3 linked regions of the Canis lupus familiaris genome follow. The protein of the gene in region 3 interacts with the protein of the main gene of each other region in a pairwise test. Links are inferred from orthologs where the notes say so. Each region holds a gene or a part of one and is shown on either strand. Other genes may lie near its edges.

Region 1 (5,844 bases), on a different chromosome or scaffold from region 3:
CTTTCACAAAAGAGATAACAAAGCATTACATAATACCATAATATCACATTAGTACTCCAATTCAACATTTAACTTTCTTCTCTCATCTTCATTTTATGAAAGATTAAACCAGTTTAGAATACTTGTCTTAATAAATTCTAATGAAGGTTCTAAGGGAAAATATTTTAAGCTTAAGCATAACTTATAACTAAACACTTCAAAGAAAACAGTATGTTTTAAATCATTAAAGTGTAAATATTTGAGTAGAAAGAAACAGGTTTATTGGTTTATTTTTTTTAAGTTGTGCTTTAAATATTTTTCAAGAGTGTAGCTACTTGTGTGGAAAATTCCTTTAGGTATACACTAACAAAGTAAACACAAAGTACAAAACAAATTCATACCCTCAACATTTGATGTACTAGTGCAAAAAATGTTTATTACCACAATATTAAGAAATATCAACACGAGTTGGAATAACTAATTCATAAGGAAGAGTTTGAACTGGACCAAATCCTGGGTTTTCTTTCGTCACTCCAAGTTTCTTTTCTATTTTAAACTAGTGGCAACAGAAATTTCTTTGTTCGAAAGTCAGGAATGCTTGAAGTCTTAAGTGATAGAACAGGTAGCTCGACTTCTACTTCATGTCTCTCCTCAGGGGGAGAAAAACACTGTGGATAAAGTAATTTTGTTTTTATTTCTGGAAAAATCATTTTTTCCATCAATCTTCATAATTCTCTAAAATAAACTGTTAAAAAGTTATAGGCCAGTCAACCACTTCACCCTGATTTGTGGAAATACTATACATTAATTTCAAGAACACATGGCTAACTTGAGTTTTCTTACTACTCTCGGTTTAAAAGTTGCTCCTAACTCTTGAACAAAAGTTGAGAATTTTACAAGTGCATATATTTCTGCATCTCATTTGCAATATTTTTGAACAAAAGAATAGTAAAAGTAGTCTAGTCTCAAGAGTCACACTGCATGTATCAAATTTATTTTTAAGGTACTGTGCAATTTTTACTGTGGAAAGCTTTTGTGATGCATCAAATGCTTAAGAATCACACCTACAAATAAAATGGAAATAAACAGTTAAGAATTTATCATTTCATTAAGATGGAGAAAGTGACAAGTATCCCTCTCTTCTTTGCTAATATGGAGAGGACTGTCCTCCCCAAATTATGTGGGACTAAGTAACCACAATTTTGGGAAGGCATACAGTAAGAGGCAGAAGTTGTAAATTAAGATGTGATTCACATACTAAACCACCTTAATGAAGATTTTAAAATTCAAGAGATAGGGAACTCCAATAATTAAAGCAGGGAGCAATAAGAAACACTGAATGGCAAGGGGGTCCTAAACCCTATAAATCAAATAAAGACAAATGAAATAAAGACCAGAAACCATTTTCTTCCCAGCACACAGAGTTCCCCAGAGTCACAAACTTGATGAACAGGAGGCACGCTCTCTGCTGACGCAGGCGCACACAATGGAGACAGAAGCATGGAGACCCTCAGGGACAAACTTTCCATCTGTACCGTTCTACTCCCCGCAGAATGGAAAGAAGAGCACGGTGAGAAGTATTTCGCACTTCTTCCACATCAGACAGAGCAAAATCGGAGTTAGTACTGCAAACTACTAATCTCTTGCTACACAATCAAAGGCAGACTGAATGAATGGGTTGTGGGGCTGGGTGGATGGGGGAATGAGTGAGGGAGGGAAGGGGTTGGTCTGAGAAAAAAGTTTGAGGCATTTTGTAAAGGCTGAATGGATTAATCTTTTAAAAAGCCCGAATATTTCTCATTTCCCTTTTTCTTTCTTTCTCCTTTTTATTAAATACAAACCGACTTCCTGGGACTCAACACAGACTTGCCCTATATTCAGCTAAAAGGCCTGGTGCTTAGGCCTGGTGCTTAGTACACACAGGAGTCCTAGGATTGATATATGTCCCACACAAATGGTCCTTTTGTGGGAAAGTATTTTTAAAATTACTTTTTGTGACCATGCATAAAACATGACCAGTCGGTAAAAAAAAAAAAAAAAAGGATGAATTCCATGCATCAATTAGTATATTGAGGCCCCAATCCACAGCGTTTTACTAGAAACATAAGCTATTTACAACTCTAAACGTTTTTTTCTGAACTTGAAAAAAATCTGCTTTACATTTTTAGAAGCTAATGAGGGACTGAGTGAGTCTTTAGTGTTTCTAGTCTTTCATCTGCTCATAAATGGGTTGTTTAGGCTATCTAGGAAAGGAAAAAAGTGAACGCTTAAATGTTAGTAGACCTGGATAACATTTAGTAGATAGCTTGAAATGCACCACTTTAAATACGTAACCGCGTAAAAAGTGTAGGAACATCGCTTCTTTCTTCCTGAATAAAATGAAAATGTAATGGGGGGCGGGGGCTGGGTAAATCTCAAGATAGAAGATGGGTCTTAAGCAGTAGTCCCTTGTCCAGGACAAAAAGCTTCCTTTAACCACATGAACAGTTGTCTTATGGGAAAGGCAGGGGGAGGGGGCTGGGGAGTCATCACCTCAGCCATTCAGACGAAGGACGCAGCATTTCTCAAGCCACACTATGGGATGGGCCAGGTGGGGGAGCGAGATAGAACTTCGCCCTTAAGAAGCAACACCGAAGAGAAGCCACCTCGCTCTTCGCACTACGCACACAGGAAGAGCCCAATTCAACACCGCCGCCACCGACACCCCCTTGTCTTGCTCCACCCCAACTTGTGTGTGTGCGGGGGGTGGCGCACGACTTGCTTTTTACCCCACAAATTCGAGACACCTCCATCTCTCTCAAGTTAAGACCTTCCACCTCCAGTCCCCAGGCGGACCACGCTCCGCAGGCGCAGGTGTCTGGATCTGGCCTATTTTTATGCTCCCCCGCCGCCCGCGCCCCCCCCCCCCGCACCTCGGCGCGCGCCGGGTCCCTCCCCGCCCCTCCCCGCGCAATGCACCAGCTGGTCTAAACGCCGCCGGAAAACGCTTCGAGCCCGACTCCCGGGTCACCTGGCCCCAGCGCCCGGCCCTGCCTTCAAGGGAGCCCCGGGGCCGCCTCTGGTCACCGGGGACCGCGCACCGGGCTCTGGGGCAGTCACGTGGTCGGCGGAGGCGGCCTGGGCTTCCTCACCTGCATCCCGGGAACTTGGACAGCCACCGGTGAGTGGGCCATGAAGGCGAAGACTGCTCTGCACTGCTCCTGTGGCGGTGGCGCCTTGGGCTCGGACTGGCTCCTCCTCCGGGGGTAGCTCGGCGGCCCTCCCAGGCTTTTCGACCGGGGCCTGGAAGGACACACAGAAGTGGGGTGACTGAGCTGGTGGCGCGTCGCCCCGGGCTGGGGGTTCTGGGCGGTTGGCGGCGCAGCTGCCTGGGGCTCAGTCTACCTTTCTGGCGCCCGCCCGCCGCTGTTGCCGCCGCCTCCGCCGCCGCTCCTCCTCCCGAACGCTGGGCGCACCGTGTGGCGGTAGCCGGGACCTGGGCTCGAGTGATGCCGCTCCTCGGCGCCTCGCCGCTTTAGGAAGAGGAGGTGGAGGCGCCCCAGCAACCCGCCCGCCCGCTGGGCCCGGGAGGCGGTTGGGGGCGGTTCCGCCGTTGGCCCTGCCTCCGCCCTGCCGCCGGGCGGTGTCAGGAGCGCCGGAGCCCCTCGCGGCGCTGGGCTGCGTGCGGCTGGGTCGGCGAGGGGGCGGACTCCCTCCGCACGCGGAGAGGAGAAGCCGCGGGCTGGGGGGCCCGGCACTGGGCCCGGCCAGGGGAGGGAATGGAGGCGTCTCGGTGACCCTGGGGGTTAGAGTGCGTCCCCGACGCGGCCACGTCGCCGACAGGCGGACAGACGTTCGAAGCTGGGGCACACGCAGCTTCAGAGACCACTTGAGTTGAAACTTGGGGAGTGTTGGAAATCCCTATCGGCTCCGCGATCTAGTCAAGGGTGCGGCCACAGAGAGCCGCCGAGTTGGTGGACCCTCTATTCATTCCCGGGGTCTGGGTCTCCAGGCTGGGGCCGAGCCTCTGGGCAGACGCGTAGCCGCTCGCCTGCTTTCTGGATTCACCGTCCCCCAGACGTACTTCAGGTGACTTGAACCTGAGGCTACCCCTACCTCTTGGGTTGTCGGTTGGAGGGCTGCCAAACTGGGGCTTCTCGTCGCAAGTTTGCACGTGGAAGGGGGGGGGGAGAAATTGGAAAACAGATATTACATCAGCAGAAAAATTAATGAGGATGATAGAGGCATAAAAAATGAGACCAGATCTTTAGTAGTACGCCTTAATGAACTTGGTATACGGCATACGCAATAGTGGTTTTAGCAATTCCCTACCTTTGTTCCCTCTTAAGTTCTGCTCCAACAGGGAGGCAGTTCCTTTTGAGAATACCCTAAAGATAACAAGTCACAATGATAATAGTAACAATTACAGAAATCTCATCATGAAGGCACCTGGGGGGACCAACAGGGGTTAAGTACATTTAAAAATGTCATATCCAAGTACCAGTTTAAGATGAGGATGAAGTTCCTTACATTGCAAATTGTTATAGGTCTGGACCTAACACAAGGTTGGGACTCTAGTAGACACTCATTAAAGTTTCTTCTGTTTCTTTTGTTGCCTTTGAATCTTTCTCGAAAGACAGCATTTTAGTGTTATAAACATAATTATTCTTTTTTTAAAAATTTTATTTATTTATGATAGTCACAGAGAGAGAGAGAGAAAGAGGCAGAGACACAGACAGAGGGAAAAGCAGGCTCCATGCACCGGGAGCCCGATGTGGGATTCGATCCCGGGTCTCCAGGATCGCGCCCTGGGCCAAAGGCAGGCGCCAAACCGCTGCGCTACCCAGGGATCCCTAAACATAATTATTCTTAATGGGTGCCATTTTCTTTGTGCCAGGGACGGCAAAGTGCTAGATATGCGTTACATGATTGACTCTTTACAAAGGCCCTCTGAAGTCGCCCATATTACCCCTCCATCTTACAAGTGATGAAAAAGGCTCTATGGGGTTAAACAATTTGACCCAAATATCACACAATTAAGAAGTGGTAGAGCTGGGAATCCAAACTCAAGTCCCTCTAACTCCTAAGATCTACTCTCTTAGCAACTGTCAATTATACAATATAGTATTGTTAAATATTGTCACTATGTTATACATTACATCCCCAGAACTTACACATCTTATAACTGAAAGTTTATGATCTTTGACCACCTTCACCTATGTCCCGCCTCACTTGCCCTGGCAACCACCAGTTCTACTCTCTGTTTCTATAAGTTTGGTATTTTTTAGATCATACAGTATTTAGTCTCTCTCTGACTGCTTTCCCTTAAAATAATGCCCTCAACATCCATCCACATGGTCACAAATGGCAGGATTTCCTTTTTCATGGTTGAATAATATTCCATCACATTTCATTATCCATTCAGATAACAAAGGATATAATTGCATCTCCTTACTCCTACTTCCCATATCCAGGCCCTCACAACTTCTAACCTGATGATAGGTCCCAATCCAATCTCAATTTCCCACCAGCGCAGCTGACACTTAATAATACCAGCCTGGCCAGAAACCTGCAGTGCCACCTAAACTTTAATGCCCTTAGAAGTTCCCTAGGAATCTTGGGACACCTAGCTGGTTCAGTTGGTTAAGCATCTGCCTTCGGCTCACGTCAGAATCTCAGGGTCCTGAGATCCAGCCCCTGCATCCGTCATCCTGCTCCATGTTCAGCAGGGAGTGTGTTTTCCCCTTCCCTCCACCCCTCCCCCTTGCTTGTGCACTCTCTCTCTCAAATAAATAAATAAATAAATAAATAAATAAATAAATAATTAAATAAAATCTTAACAACAACAACAACAAAAAAAAAAAAACGTTCCCTAGGATTCTTTTT
Region 2 (5,700 bases), on a different chromosome or scaffold from region 3:
CATGGCCCCACAATTTTCACATGCTCCTTTGCGGTACTTAGTAGTTATGGAATTCTATAAAAGGACATAAAGAAAAACGTTTTATTTCTGAATAAGTTAGAAAAAATTTGGCTCTTCTTACTATATTGTCCAGTGAAGTGATTTACTCATTAAGAGAAATACTACTTAGAGTCTCCATACTTTTATAAATGAGAAAGTTTAAGTACTTTAGCAATATAAAACTTATAAAAGAAAACACAGAAACAAAAGTAGTATGTATTGTGAATTTTAATCCCAGGTAAAAGATGTTTTATAATCTGATATAACTTTATTAAAGGCTTTTATATTAAGTTATTCAAATAAAATCTCCATTTTCACAAGGATATATATAAAAGTTGCCCAAATACCTCTTTTACACCCCTCTTGTACCATTCTCCAGATGAGCTGTATTGCTTTTGTTTCTCTGGTTGTGGTCTCTGGTGCTTTAAAGTAGGTCTTTTTGATGGATCAATATACCATGGCACTGAAGAAATATACTGAGGTATATGAGGGTTGATGTCTCTGTAATTTAAAAAATATATATATTTTAAGAATAAAGTTTGAAAATAGTTGATAATACAATTACAAAGGTAGCCTATACAGACTCTAAGAAGAGAGATAGTGCAGTGGAGGGGAGAGAGAAAATATGCCTGATCTCTCTATATAATATAGTAAAAACAACAAAATTAAAAATAAGTAATTTATTTTAGAATGAAAAAATTTCCAATTTAGCAACTAAGAATAGTGACAGAACTGAAGCGAGGAAAGATATAAGGAAGATAGAGATGAATGTTAGAAGAGTAGATAAATCTTATGAAAGAGCAAGAAGCTAGCCAATAATGCCTAGAGTTGATTACAATAACGATGTAGGTACATTATTTAGAGATGTAAAGGTATCAACCAGAAAAACTCAAAATAGAAAGATTTAAAAGTAGTCATTTTCCAGAGTGGAACAGGGAGTGGGAAGAGCTGAAAGAGATGACTGCTGTTCATTAGAAGTCCTTCAATACTTTTTTATTATTAAACCTTACATATATGAATTTGATAAAATAATAAAAACAAAAAGGATGTAAATGGCAAAGATAGTTTCCTGTCAAACTAAAAAATGAGAAATTGCTAAACTAAGTAGATATAAATTTGAACTTTGAATGAACAGATAATGCAAAAAATGAATGTACTTACTTTCCTTCTTCATCAACTTCTGCTGGAGCATTACCCAGTTTTCGCTGTTCTTCTAGCTCCTTCTTCTTTCTCCAGTCCTCTCTGGTCATCTTCTTTGGTTCCTCCAGACTCATTTCTTTGGACCCCGACAGGGGGGCTGCATTAACTGCATCTACAGCTGCAGCTGACATGGTTATCTGGATACCTCTATGAGAAGAAAGAAATATATATTAGTATAAAGTAGGCCTTCATGAGTTTATCAGGGAAACTATCAAAAGTACACAAATTGCATACCTCATAACACATACTACAGTCTCATTTATATATAATATTTTATATGCTCTTATAGCATCTGTGAGGGAAGGGTCTCTTTCTCTTCCACAAAAAATCTCTATATACTGTTCGCAGTTCCTCCCTCAAATCTAACTTACAAATGAAGAGAAACATACATACATGTACTTAAAGTTTCCTAAGACTCTTTATCTTATTAATATTCCTTAATTTCTCTATATATGACTCAAACTTTTCTAGCACATTAACCCTACATAAGTAAACAATGTCCTATTTTTCTCAAAGATGTAATTCCTTAAGAGTTATCTATATCCATAGACTCTATTTTCCCAACTACTTCGTTCCTCAGTCACTCCAATTTAGCTTCCACTCCTTCTCTCTCTGAAGAGGCCCCACAAAGTCATCAATGATCAATGTGCTAAATCCACTAAACATTTTTCAGTTTTCTTCCTTCTCTCTCTTTTTAAAATATTTATTTCTTTAAAATTTATTATATTTCTTTATTTGTGTGAGAGAGTGCATGTGTGTGTGGGGGGCACGGAACAGGGGTAGGGGCAGAGGGGGAGGGAGACAGGCAGACTCCCTGCTGACCTGGAAGCTGGACAGTCATTGGGGTTCCATCCCAGGACCCTAGATCCTAACATAAGCTGAAATCAAGAGTCAGAAGCTCAAATGACTGAGCCACCCAGGCGCCCCTGTTCCTTCCCTTCTTGAAACATTCTTACCTCTTGGCTTAAGTGACACTATAATCTGTTTTTTTCTTTAATCTCTCCTGCTGCTCTTGTCTTCTTTGCAAGTTCATCTATTTCGGCCCAGTTAGTTAATTTTGGATTCCACAAGGCTCAGTCTTGGAGTCTCTTTCATCACTCTGGACTTCATCAGTAGTCAGCGCATCTATTTCTAAGGCTTTAATATACCACTGTTGGCTCTCCAGCTTATTTTCTCCTTTTCAGACCTTTTATCTGAGTTTCACATACATATATTCCAATAGCTCGCTTCATAGCATCTACTTTTAGAGGGTCTTAGAAACACGTAAACTCATCAAATTTTAATTTAAACTCATGATCTTCTCCATGGAATGCCATCTTGATTACTGTTTCCTCTCTTAATGAAAAATACTATTCATACCTTTACATATATGTTCCAGCTAATCTCGATAACTATTTCATCATTAAGTATTTTTGTTTTTTTACCTTCTGAATAGCATTCATATTTACCTACTTCTCTCTATCCTCAATGCTACCACTTTAATGGAAGGTATTACTTTCCCTTTCTTATTGGTCTCCTGCCATTCTCTCCAATCAGTTCTCCACACCGCAGTGTTATTTTTTCAGAACACAAATTTAATCATATCATAACCTACTTACACAAGCTTAAAATCCTACAATGTGGCTCTGTCCAAGATAAATATAATGCCATTCTCATACATCACTTTAAGTGTTCCAGTAGTCATACTAAGATAGTAAAAATAAGCACGTAAAATGACTTTTAAAAATATTTTAATTTAATCCAACATATCCAACATCCTATTTTAACACTTAATCAACATAAGAGAAAATAAAGTCTTTAAAATCCGATCAGATTTTACACGTATTCAGAACAGCCATATTTCAAGTGCTCAAGAGCCACAAGTAGCTAACAGCTGGGAAATGAAACTCCGATGATATCTGATAATTCTTACTCTAAAAATCATTAAGACGTTCCTGGTCTGGCTCGGCACAAGCACACTGAGGCCTAGGACCGCGGCTTTCTTCTCGGTCCCGGATCCCCATTCCCCCCTCGACCTGGAATTCATCACTTTCGTAGGAATGTATCTAAGAAGTAGGAGGCCTTCGGCCTGTTTTCCAGAGTTTTTCAGCTTCACCTTCTCCCCATCCCCAAGTTCCCACATTTCCTTACCCAATCCGGTCACAGCAGAACCCAAAACCTCCCGACAGAAACAAACTCAATCCGTCAATGTTTACTTCCTGGCTTTCCGCCCTCTCCCGGCAGCCACTGCGGTAGTTTCCGGACGAGCGACACATGCGCACTAACGTCTTTCGGTAGGGGACCAGGTCAGGCTCCCACGCGATGTTATTATCGCGAGATCTCGCGCGCTTCTTTATTTACCTCGGGCTGGAGGAAGGGGTTAGTTTGAGCAGGTGCTTTCCTGCTCTCCGGGTTTGTGTTGTTGATTCTTTTAGAATCGCAGACTCTTAGGAGGCTTAAAAAAAAAAAAAAAGTACGGAGAATAGACAACAGCTTACGCCTCTCTGCAGAACTAAGAAATGAATGGGGAAGTTCGTGACATATTACAAAAGAAAGGCAGTTAAAATTAGTATTAATTAGTGGTCAGTGTGTGACACTTTGAGGGACGTGGTGAGCAAAAAGAGTATTTCCTTGCATTCACAACATACAAAGTGAAAAAGGCACTAAAATGATTTTCAAATAATGTACAGTTGTAAAAAGCCTCTGTGAAAGGAATACCAGATGCTCTGAAAACCTAAGGCACCATTTGGTGGTTGTGACATTCTGTACCGAAGTGATCTTGTGTTTTGTCATTAGAAAAAAAAATACTATGAAACAATTTCTATTTTGGGAAAACTGGTATCTATGACATTCCAACCCTCCTTTTAAAGTACACCTATGAAGTAAGATTAGTTACTGGAAAATAAGCAGTAGTTTGTTCTTTCTTATTTCTTTCTTTCTTTTTTTTTTTTTTTTTTTTTAAGATTTTATTGATTTACTTGAGAGAGTGTAGAACGAGAGAAAGAGCATGAGGGGACGGGGGTTCCATCTCAGGACTCCTGGATCATCACCTGAGCTGAAGGCAGACGCTTAACGGACTGAGCCACCCCTAAGCAGTAATTTTGGTAGTAGAATTTCTTCTGTTTTTTTCTTCTTTGTGCTGTTGTCTTTTATTTTTCAAGGTAACATGTATTAGATTTATTTGCTTGTTTTTAGACAGAGAGAGTGAGCAGGGGGAGAGGCAGGCGACTGGGAGAGAATTCTAAAGCAGATTTCTCACTTAGTGCACAGCTGAATTCTGGGCTAGATCCCAGGCCCCGGAGATAATGATCTGAGTTGAAAGTCAAGACTGGGTCGCTTAACCGACTGAGCCACCCAGGCGCCCCAGTATATATTGCTTTTAAAAGTAAAAGTGAGGGGTGCTTGGGTGGCTCAGTCAGTTAAGTGTCTACTTTCAGCTCAGCTCATGATTCTGGAGTTCATGGATTGAGGCCCATGTCAGGCTCCCTGCTCTGTGGAGAGTCTGCTTCTCCCCCTCCTACCTCTTCCTCACTGCTCCATTTCTGCTCTTTGCTCACTCTCTATCTCTGAAATAAAGTCTTTAAAAAAAGTAAAAGTGAAAATAGCTCACACCCATGCTTCATAAAACCCCCTCATAATCCATTTTTTTCTTATTAAAAATTTGCAGTGCCAAGAGTTTAGGAATTTAAACATTAATTTTGATTTTACAGGGCAACAGGTGAAGTCATAGAAAGGGTCAGAGAATAGCCTGAAAGTGAGTAGTCTCTGGATCACCTACACTTTGTTTTTACTTCTTTAAATAATTCCTGAAATTGGCTTGGAATTGTTGAGGCCTGTTTTAAAATCACCAGGCACAAGCCAGAGAACACATCTCCCAGACGAATCATATAATGTACTAGAAGAGAAGGGAGAAGGCTTTGTAAGGTTTGGATTCCCCCTGGAGGACTTGGAGAAAAGTATAGGGAAGCACGTGTTCAGTTCTCTAGATGGGTTGCTGTTTGTAAATCATGATTAGAATAAACGGGGATTGATTAGGATCTAGGTACTATTATAAGGTGAGGGTGGTTACTAATTGGGTAATCTAGTAATAATAGGGAATAGTAAAGTGGGTTTGGGGCATCATTGGTGAGAAAACAAGAATCACTCAAAGAGGGGGTAGTTGGGGCACCTGGGTGGCTCAGTGGCTCAGGTCATGATCCCAGAGACATAGGCAGAGGGAGAAGCAGGCTTCTCTCGGGGGAAGTCTGATGCGGGGCTTGATCCTCTGCCTATGTCTCTGCCTCTCTTTCTGTGTCTCTCATAAATAAATAAATAAATAAAAATCTTTAAAAAAAAAAAAGAGGGGGTGGCTATAGCATTTTACAGTTTCTACATGACCTTGAGAAACACAGTGCTTCCTGTTGTAAGGGGAAGACTTAACTGGGGGAGATACAAATCTTGCACTCAAAGACCTTGGGAGATAGAGAATCCCCACTTCCCAGC
Region 3 (5,888 bases):
AGGTTTCAGTTACTGGGCTCTGGTCAAAAGCTATCTCGAGCATGTTGAGGAGCCCAGTGAGACTTACTCAGATATTAATTGGGTGATCTCCTTGTCCAGCAGATCCCTCTTCTCCTTCAGTTTCTGAATGTCAAGGCGCAGAGAATCCTTGCTGGCCCCATCAGCCTGGCCAGACTTGGGAGATGGCCGCTGGGTGGCACACAAAGTCATTAGCCAGACGGACCCATTATCCACAATTCAGAACCTACAAGTTTGCCCTCAACAGCCACTCAACCTGCTTCTGCTTGGTGACAGACAGCCCCCACCCACTAATGAGATTACATTTCCCAGCTTCCCTTGGAATTAGATGTAGCCCTCTAAGTTCTGGCAAGGGGAAGTTAATCTGAAATCATGTGTGTAACATCTGGGAGTCATTCTTCCAGGGAGAGGGCATGCTTTTCTCTGGCCTTCCTTCCTCCTTCCTGCTGGCTAGAATGTGGATGTAATGATAGAGCTGAACAGTATCTTGGGTGACAAGGTAGAATCGAAGCTGAAAGTGTGGTGAACCAAGATAGAGGCCTGGGTCCCGGAAGACTATTTAGGTCACCATTATTGGGGGCTTTCTTTCACTCCTGCCCAAGCCCAATCCTAACTAAAGGGCTCACTCTGGCCCCTAATCTGACCCTAGATAATCTACTAGGGTCATGTCTACTTCTCGGATTCTCTTCTCAAGTCTATGATGTCGCTGGGCTTATGATTTTATTGGATAACAAAACCATTCTCTAGGGCTGCAGTTCATCTGCCCTCTTTGTCTCTAGAAGCTACAAGGGCCAGGGCTTGGTACACTGGCTAATCTTTAGGAAATATGTGTTGGATCTGAAGAAGAGGCCAAGGAAGATATGGTTCCTATTCTTAGGGCAGGGTTTGTTAATCAGTGAGTTGACAGTGAATAAGCCCTATCTGCTAGACACTGGCAAAGGCTCCAGGAATTCAACGATGGACAAGACATCAAGCCTGGCCCCTGCCTTCTGGGAATGCATATAAAACACCCAGTAATTATGGTTTTCCTCCAGATATCTTCATTTAAAATTCTACTCACACTTCATCAGGAAGGCCCTCGCTGACCACTCCGTCTAAAATGGTCACTCCTCACTGGCTTACTATTCTTTTGTCCTGATATTTTAAAACATCTATCACCACCTGACATATACATTTCATTGATAATATGTTGTTGGCCTCATGCCACTGGAGTATGAACTCCATGAGGGCAGGGACTGTGTTTTGTTCACTGTGCCCCAACAGTGCCTGGCACACGGGAGGCACTCAATAAAAAGGTGTCCAGTGAATGAATGAATGACAAATAATTAATCAACTAACAACAAGTCTGAAAAGTGCTTTTTAGGTGAAGTACAGTGTGCTAAGGGAGTGTCTAATTGAGCAACTGGACCGAGTCAGAAGTGGGGGTGAGTGAGGCTCCTCTCGGGGATTCTCAACCCGGAAGGATGAGCAGGCATCACCTTGCTAAAAAGCTGCAAGGGAAGTATTCCAGAAGCGCACAGTATATTCAAATGGCAAAGGCACGAGAGCGCACGCGCGTCTGGGGGAATGAGAGTGGTTTTTGTGTGGGGTGGTGGGTGAGGGAGGAGATCAGGGTGCTCCCGGCAAGGAGGAGAGACAGAGCCTACTGGGGGAGCCTGGGGTACCACAGGCAAAGGCCAGGACACTGCTTCTCCTTTGAATCTTGGTGGGCAGGAGGAAAAGAAGGCAGAAGGACTGAGAAATGACCCGGAGTTCCTCAGCAGAACAAGATGTGCTGGGGGAAGACTTGAAGGGGGCTGGGGATGGAGAGGAGGGCTGGGAGCAGCACTGACTTCACACTGCGGAGGGAGAGAAAGGGGTGGGGGTCACAGGCATACTCACAGGGGATTGGAAGGCCCCGCGGCAACTTTGGGAAAGTCCTGGTTGAGTCCTGGAGAGGAATCCGAAGACAAAAGGCTGATTGAACCTAGAGTCAGTCCGCTCTGAGAGGAGAGGGTTACGTGGGGGTGTGGGAGGTAAGGAGTTGGGGAGGGGCAGATACGGTCCGAGATGAGGGCAGGGAGTGTGGGGGGCTAGATGGGGGTCTCTGGAAGTGATCTCTGGGACCAGAGTCTGAGGCCCGGCAATGGGGAGTCAGGAAAGGGACTGTGAAGGGATGCGCTTTCGCCCTGCTATCCGCTCCTCGCCCACCTCCGGAGCCCTGGGGTCCGGGGCCCCCGTCTCGGGGGAGTATGCAGTGCAGAAGGGTCCAGGGCGGGGCGGGAGAGCGGCCCCTCTGGCCCACCAGGTACTCGGAATCTTAGGACGGAGACGCCGACGGCTGGGTGGCTAAATGCGCGCGCAACCTGCAAAGCCAGGTCCCGCCCCCGCCCCGAAGTGGGCGGGGCCAGAGGCTGCGCGCGCAGCTTTCATTGTCACTCCACCCGCTCGCGGCAACCTGACCACGCCCATTCCCCCGTTCATCTTTCTCACCAGCCAATAGAATTGGAGCATTGAGGCCACGCCCACCAGCTGCTACCTAGAAACTCTAGGGTCCCTCCCTTTCTGGCTCAGTCGCACACCGGCGCGGTGACTGCCGGAAGTGATGCCGCGGTGGTTGCCGGGATCGCGGTGATGTGGCCACCCCCCTTACCCCTCCCCGTCCCGGGATGTCGGAAGAAACCCGACAGAGCAAATTGGCTGCGGCCAAGAAAAAGGTAAAACGTGCCGGGTCGCGGCTCCCTGACCCAGCCAAAGGCCCCTCGGACGGCCGGGCCGTGGCCAGAATCTTTGCTGCCCCTGAGGCACACGGGGCTAGCCCCGTGACGCCCCTTGGCGCCCCCCACCCCAAGTCGTCTCAGCCAGTCCCGCCCCCCGGCTGCCCAGCCCCCGCCCTCGCCCGCCGCCCCCGGTGACTTTGGGCTGGTGACTCCCCGGGCTCCCTGCTCCAGGTTTGGCCCTAGCCTTCTGCCACCCAGAAGCGGAGGACCTGGGCTCTCCAGGCCGGTCCCGGTGTCCAGGGACCTCGGTCCCAGCCCTGCTTTCCCCTCCCCCACCGCGGAGCGGCGACTCGGGCGTTGGTAGGGAGGAGGGGAATGTAGTTACGTCACAATCCCCCTCGGAACTGTCATTAGCGCCAGGAGCCCCGGTGTTTGGTCTTACTACCCAGTCTCCCAGTGTTTTCATACCCTTTCCGGTTTCTCCGGTCGCGGCGCAAATTTCCAGCTTGAAGGGGACTGGGGACTATGGGACCTAGGTGGGAGAGGTTTCAGGAGCCCTTACTCTAGACTGTACCCCATCCTTAAACATTGACTACACCAGTGATCATGGAACATTGATAACACCTTGGTGACAATGGGGAGAGTGTGTTTTCTTTGGTATGGTTTCCTTTTAGGTTTCTACTGTCCAGAAAGACTTTCACATATTAAATCTGAATTCTCTACCTCACATTTTAATTCCTTATGATTCTGGACCAGAGTCCCCCCCGCCTCCCCCCCATCAATCAGTGCTCTTTGGAGTGAGATCTGCTTATCCTCTGTGGAACTGATCTCTGGAACCTGAATTTCATAGGTGGGAATCTTCCCCAAATCATCATCTCAACATGGAGTGTTCTGAGGGCCACAGGATAATATAGAACTGAAGCATCAATTGTGCTTGATTCTTTTGAGAAAGAAAAATCCTTTTATAGTAATGTACTAGGGATGACATTTGTGTAGATTTGTAAGATTATGATAGACTTCTCTCTGAAATGGTGCTTGGATTGTCCTCTTTCTGTTAGGTTTCCACATTCACTAGGTGTGTGCCTTTACTGCCTTCTGCCATCAGGATACGTTGATATAAAAGTTTGATAAATACCAATGTGCAGCTTTAACAGATTTGTAGGAAAGGACTCTAAAGTCAGATTACTCAGATGTTATTTTTCCCACCTTTTCCACCTCCACCTCTGGTTTTGCCTTTTGGCACCTGCTGATTTCATGGCATAACCCCAGAACTCGGAGTCAGAAGACTAAGTTTAAATTCCATTATTGCCTAAGTTTAAATTCCATTATTGCCTTTTCTTTTCTTAGTCATGTTATCAGTCTATTTCTGCAGTCACTGAGAATTACAACACCTTGTAGGGCTGTTGGTGGCATTAAGTCAGATGGCGAGTATGGGAGTATATTGTAAACTACAAAGTTGGACATGAATACAGGGGTTTATAGTTCTCATGAGCCCCACTGATTTTCCTTTCTGTAGTTGAGGGAGTATCAGCAGAAGAACAGCCCTGGTGTAGGAGCAAAGAAGAAAAGGAAGATTAAAAATGGCAGTAGCCCTGAGACTACCACTTCCAATGATTGTCACTCTCCTGAGGATGTGAGTACTGGCTGGCCAGGTTCCTGGGGCCAGGGGTGTTTGAGGGGCAGTAGAGGGTGGTGGTTGATACTGTGGAGGAGATGTCAGGTACGGATTTGAATCCTACCTCTCCCTCTGCTGGGAATATGCCCCATCAATAAAGTTGGGGTAATAATGTCTTAACACTGGTGACACTGGAATGAGATGGTTGATTTTTTTTGTTTCTTTTAAGGGTTTATTTATTTGAGAGAGAGCAGGGGGAGGGGCAAAGGAAGAGGGAGAGAGAATCCTCAAGCAGACTCCCTGCTGAGCACGGAGCCTGATGTCTGGCTGGATCCCATGACTCTGAGATCATGACCTGAGCCGGAAGAACTCAGGAGTCGGACACTTAACCAACTAAGCTGTCCAGATGCCCCATTGATGTTGTTTTTATATTAATCCCTTAGGGCCTGGTGTGGGATAAGCATTCAGTCAAGGGTAGTCCTATTTGACATACTGACCTGGTGACTTTCCTCATCCCTGGCTTCAGGGGGGAAGCCAGGCAGTGAGAATAGCCATCTGCCATCACACTGTCCCTATAGGAAGCACCAAAAGAGACCCAGGGTGTAGCAAGGAGACCAAGCATTTGGGTTAGGTGACAGTGAATTTTGAGTCCATCTTTGCCACCAGTTTGCTGGGCGACCTCAGGAAAATCACTTCCTCCCCTGGGCCCAGTTTCCTCTTCTGTAAGATGATATTGTTGGAGCAGATCAGTGTCTTTCAGACTTCTAGCTGGAGCTCCCTTTGTTCAAGCGAACCCTCCATGGAAGTCTGGTTTTTAAAATGGAGTTGCAAGCCTGTCAGATTTGTCCCCAGCACCCGGGTCTGAGGAGAGGGTCTGATGAATGTATTAAAATAACACCTGCATTGGGCTGGTGATCGCGTTCTCGGTCTCGTTCAGGGGACTTTTCCATCTGGGTACATTGATTTCTGCCTCCAGCACGGCAGCAGGTGGCTGTTTGGGAAGGCAGCACAGGCCATGGATTTGTTGCCCTCTCTCTTCTCCAGCATTTCATCTTCCTGAACCCACTTCTTCCTTCCCTGACTCTCTCACCTCTCTCTAAGCCACTCTTCTCTCTCCCCTTGCCCTTGTTTCTCCCTTCTCGCCTCCTGTAGATTCAGGATATTCTGAAGGTGCTGGTGTCCGACCTTAACCGCTCCAATGGGGTAGCGCTCCCCCCATTGGACAAGTGGAAGGTGAGGCAGTGCCGAACCCCCTCTCTGGCTTGCTCTCTCCCAGCTGTGCATGCCCCAAGGCTTCTCTGGTTTGGGGGAATACTTTGCCTCTGGCTTATTTTATGTTGCTGTCATTAACCCTCAGCCTGTTCATGTCTGCTTTTTTTTTCACCTGCTTGGTTGATTGGGTTTTTTTCCTTCCCCCACATCTTTTATCATTTTGAAGAAGATGTGAGACACATCTTGAAGTTTAAAGGTAACTTGGGAAAGCTTCCAGAGCAGGTGTGTGGGATTTGGCTTTTTCTAGCCTTGGGTATGAATACCCAGTGGCGCGTCAGATTTGG

What was found. The genes of interacting proteins can lie anywhere in the genome.
Region 1: the proteins of GOLGA2 (region 3) and STK26 interact in binary tests that used the Homo sapiens proteins (3 or more experiments, as listed by UniProt). The link is inferred for Canis lupus familiaris from reciprocal best matches to the Homo sapiens genes GOLGA2 and STK26.
Region 2: the proteins of GOLGA2 (region 3) and SLU7 interact in binary tests that used the Homo sapiens proteins (3 or more experiments, as listed by UniProt). The two-hybrid records come from large-scale screens. The link is inferred for Canis lupus familiaris from reciprocal best matches to the Homo sapiens genes GOLGA2 and SLU7.

What each region holds. Positions count from the first base shown.
Region 1 is NC_049260.1:103,878,358-103,884,201, reverse strand, and holds the start of STK26 (serine/threonine-protein kinase 26), read right to left. Parts: upstream 3,528-5,844; 5' UTR 3,364-3,527; intron 3,262-3,363; 5' UTR 3,153-3,261; coding exon 3,111-3,152; exon of another isoform or gene 2,946-3,110; intron 1-2,945. UniProt on the Homo sapiens protein: Serine/threonine-protein kinase that acts as a mediator of cell growth. Modulates apoptosis. In association with STK24 negatively regulates Golgi reorientation in polarized cell migration upon RHO activation.
Region 2 is NC_049225.1:51,199,856-51,205,555, reverse strand, and holds the start of SLU7 (pre-mRNA-splicing factor SLU7), read right to left. Parts: upstream 3,528-5,700; 5' UTR 3,495-3,527; coding exon 3,370-3,494; intron 1,387-3,369; coding exon 1,201-1,386; intron 541-1,200; coding exon 387-540; intron 55-386; coding exon 1-54. UniProt on the Homo sapiens protein: Required for pre-mRNA splicing as component of the spliceosome. Participates in the second catalytic step of pre-mRNA splicing, when the free hydroxyl group of exon I attacks the 3'-splice site to generate spliced mRNA and the excised lariat intron.
Region 3 is NC_049230.1:55,320,338-55,326,225, forward strand, and holds the start of GOLGA2 (golgin subfamily A member 2), read left to right. Parts: upstream 1-2,555; 5' UTR 2,556-2,666; coding exon 2,667-2,714; intron 2,715-4,233; coding exon 4,234-4,350; intron 4,351-5,484; coding exon 5,485-5,565; intron 5,566-5,888. Other genes in the region: DNA repair protein SWI5 homolog, read right to left, coding at 68-189, 1,900-1,948, 2,209-2,423, 2,491-2,511. UniProt on the Homo sapiens protein: Peripheral membrane component of the cis-Golgi stack that acts as a membrane skeleton that maintains the structure of the Golgi apparatus, and as a vesicle thether that facilitates vesicle fusion to the Golgi membrane.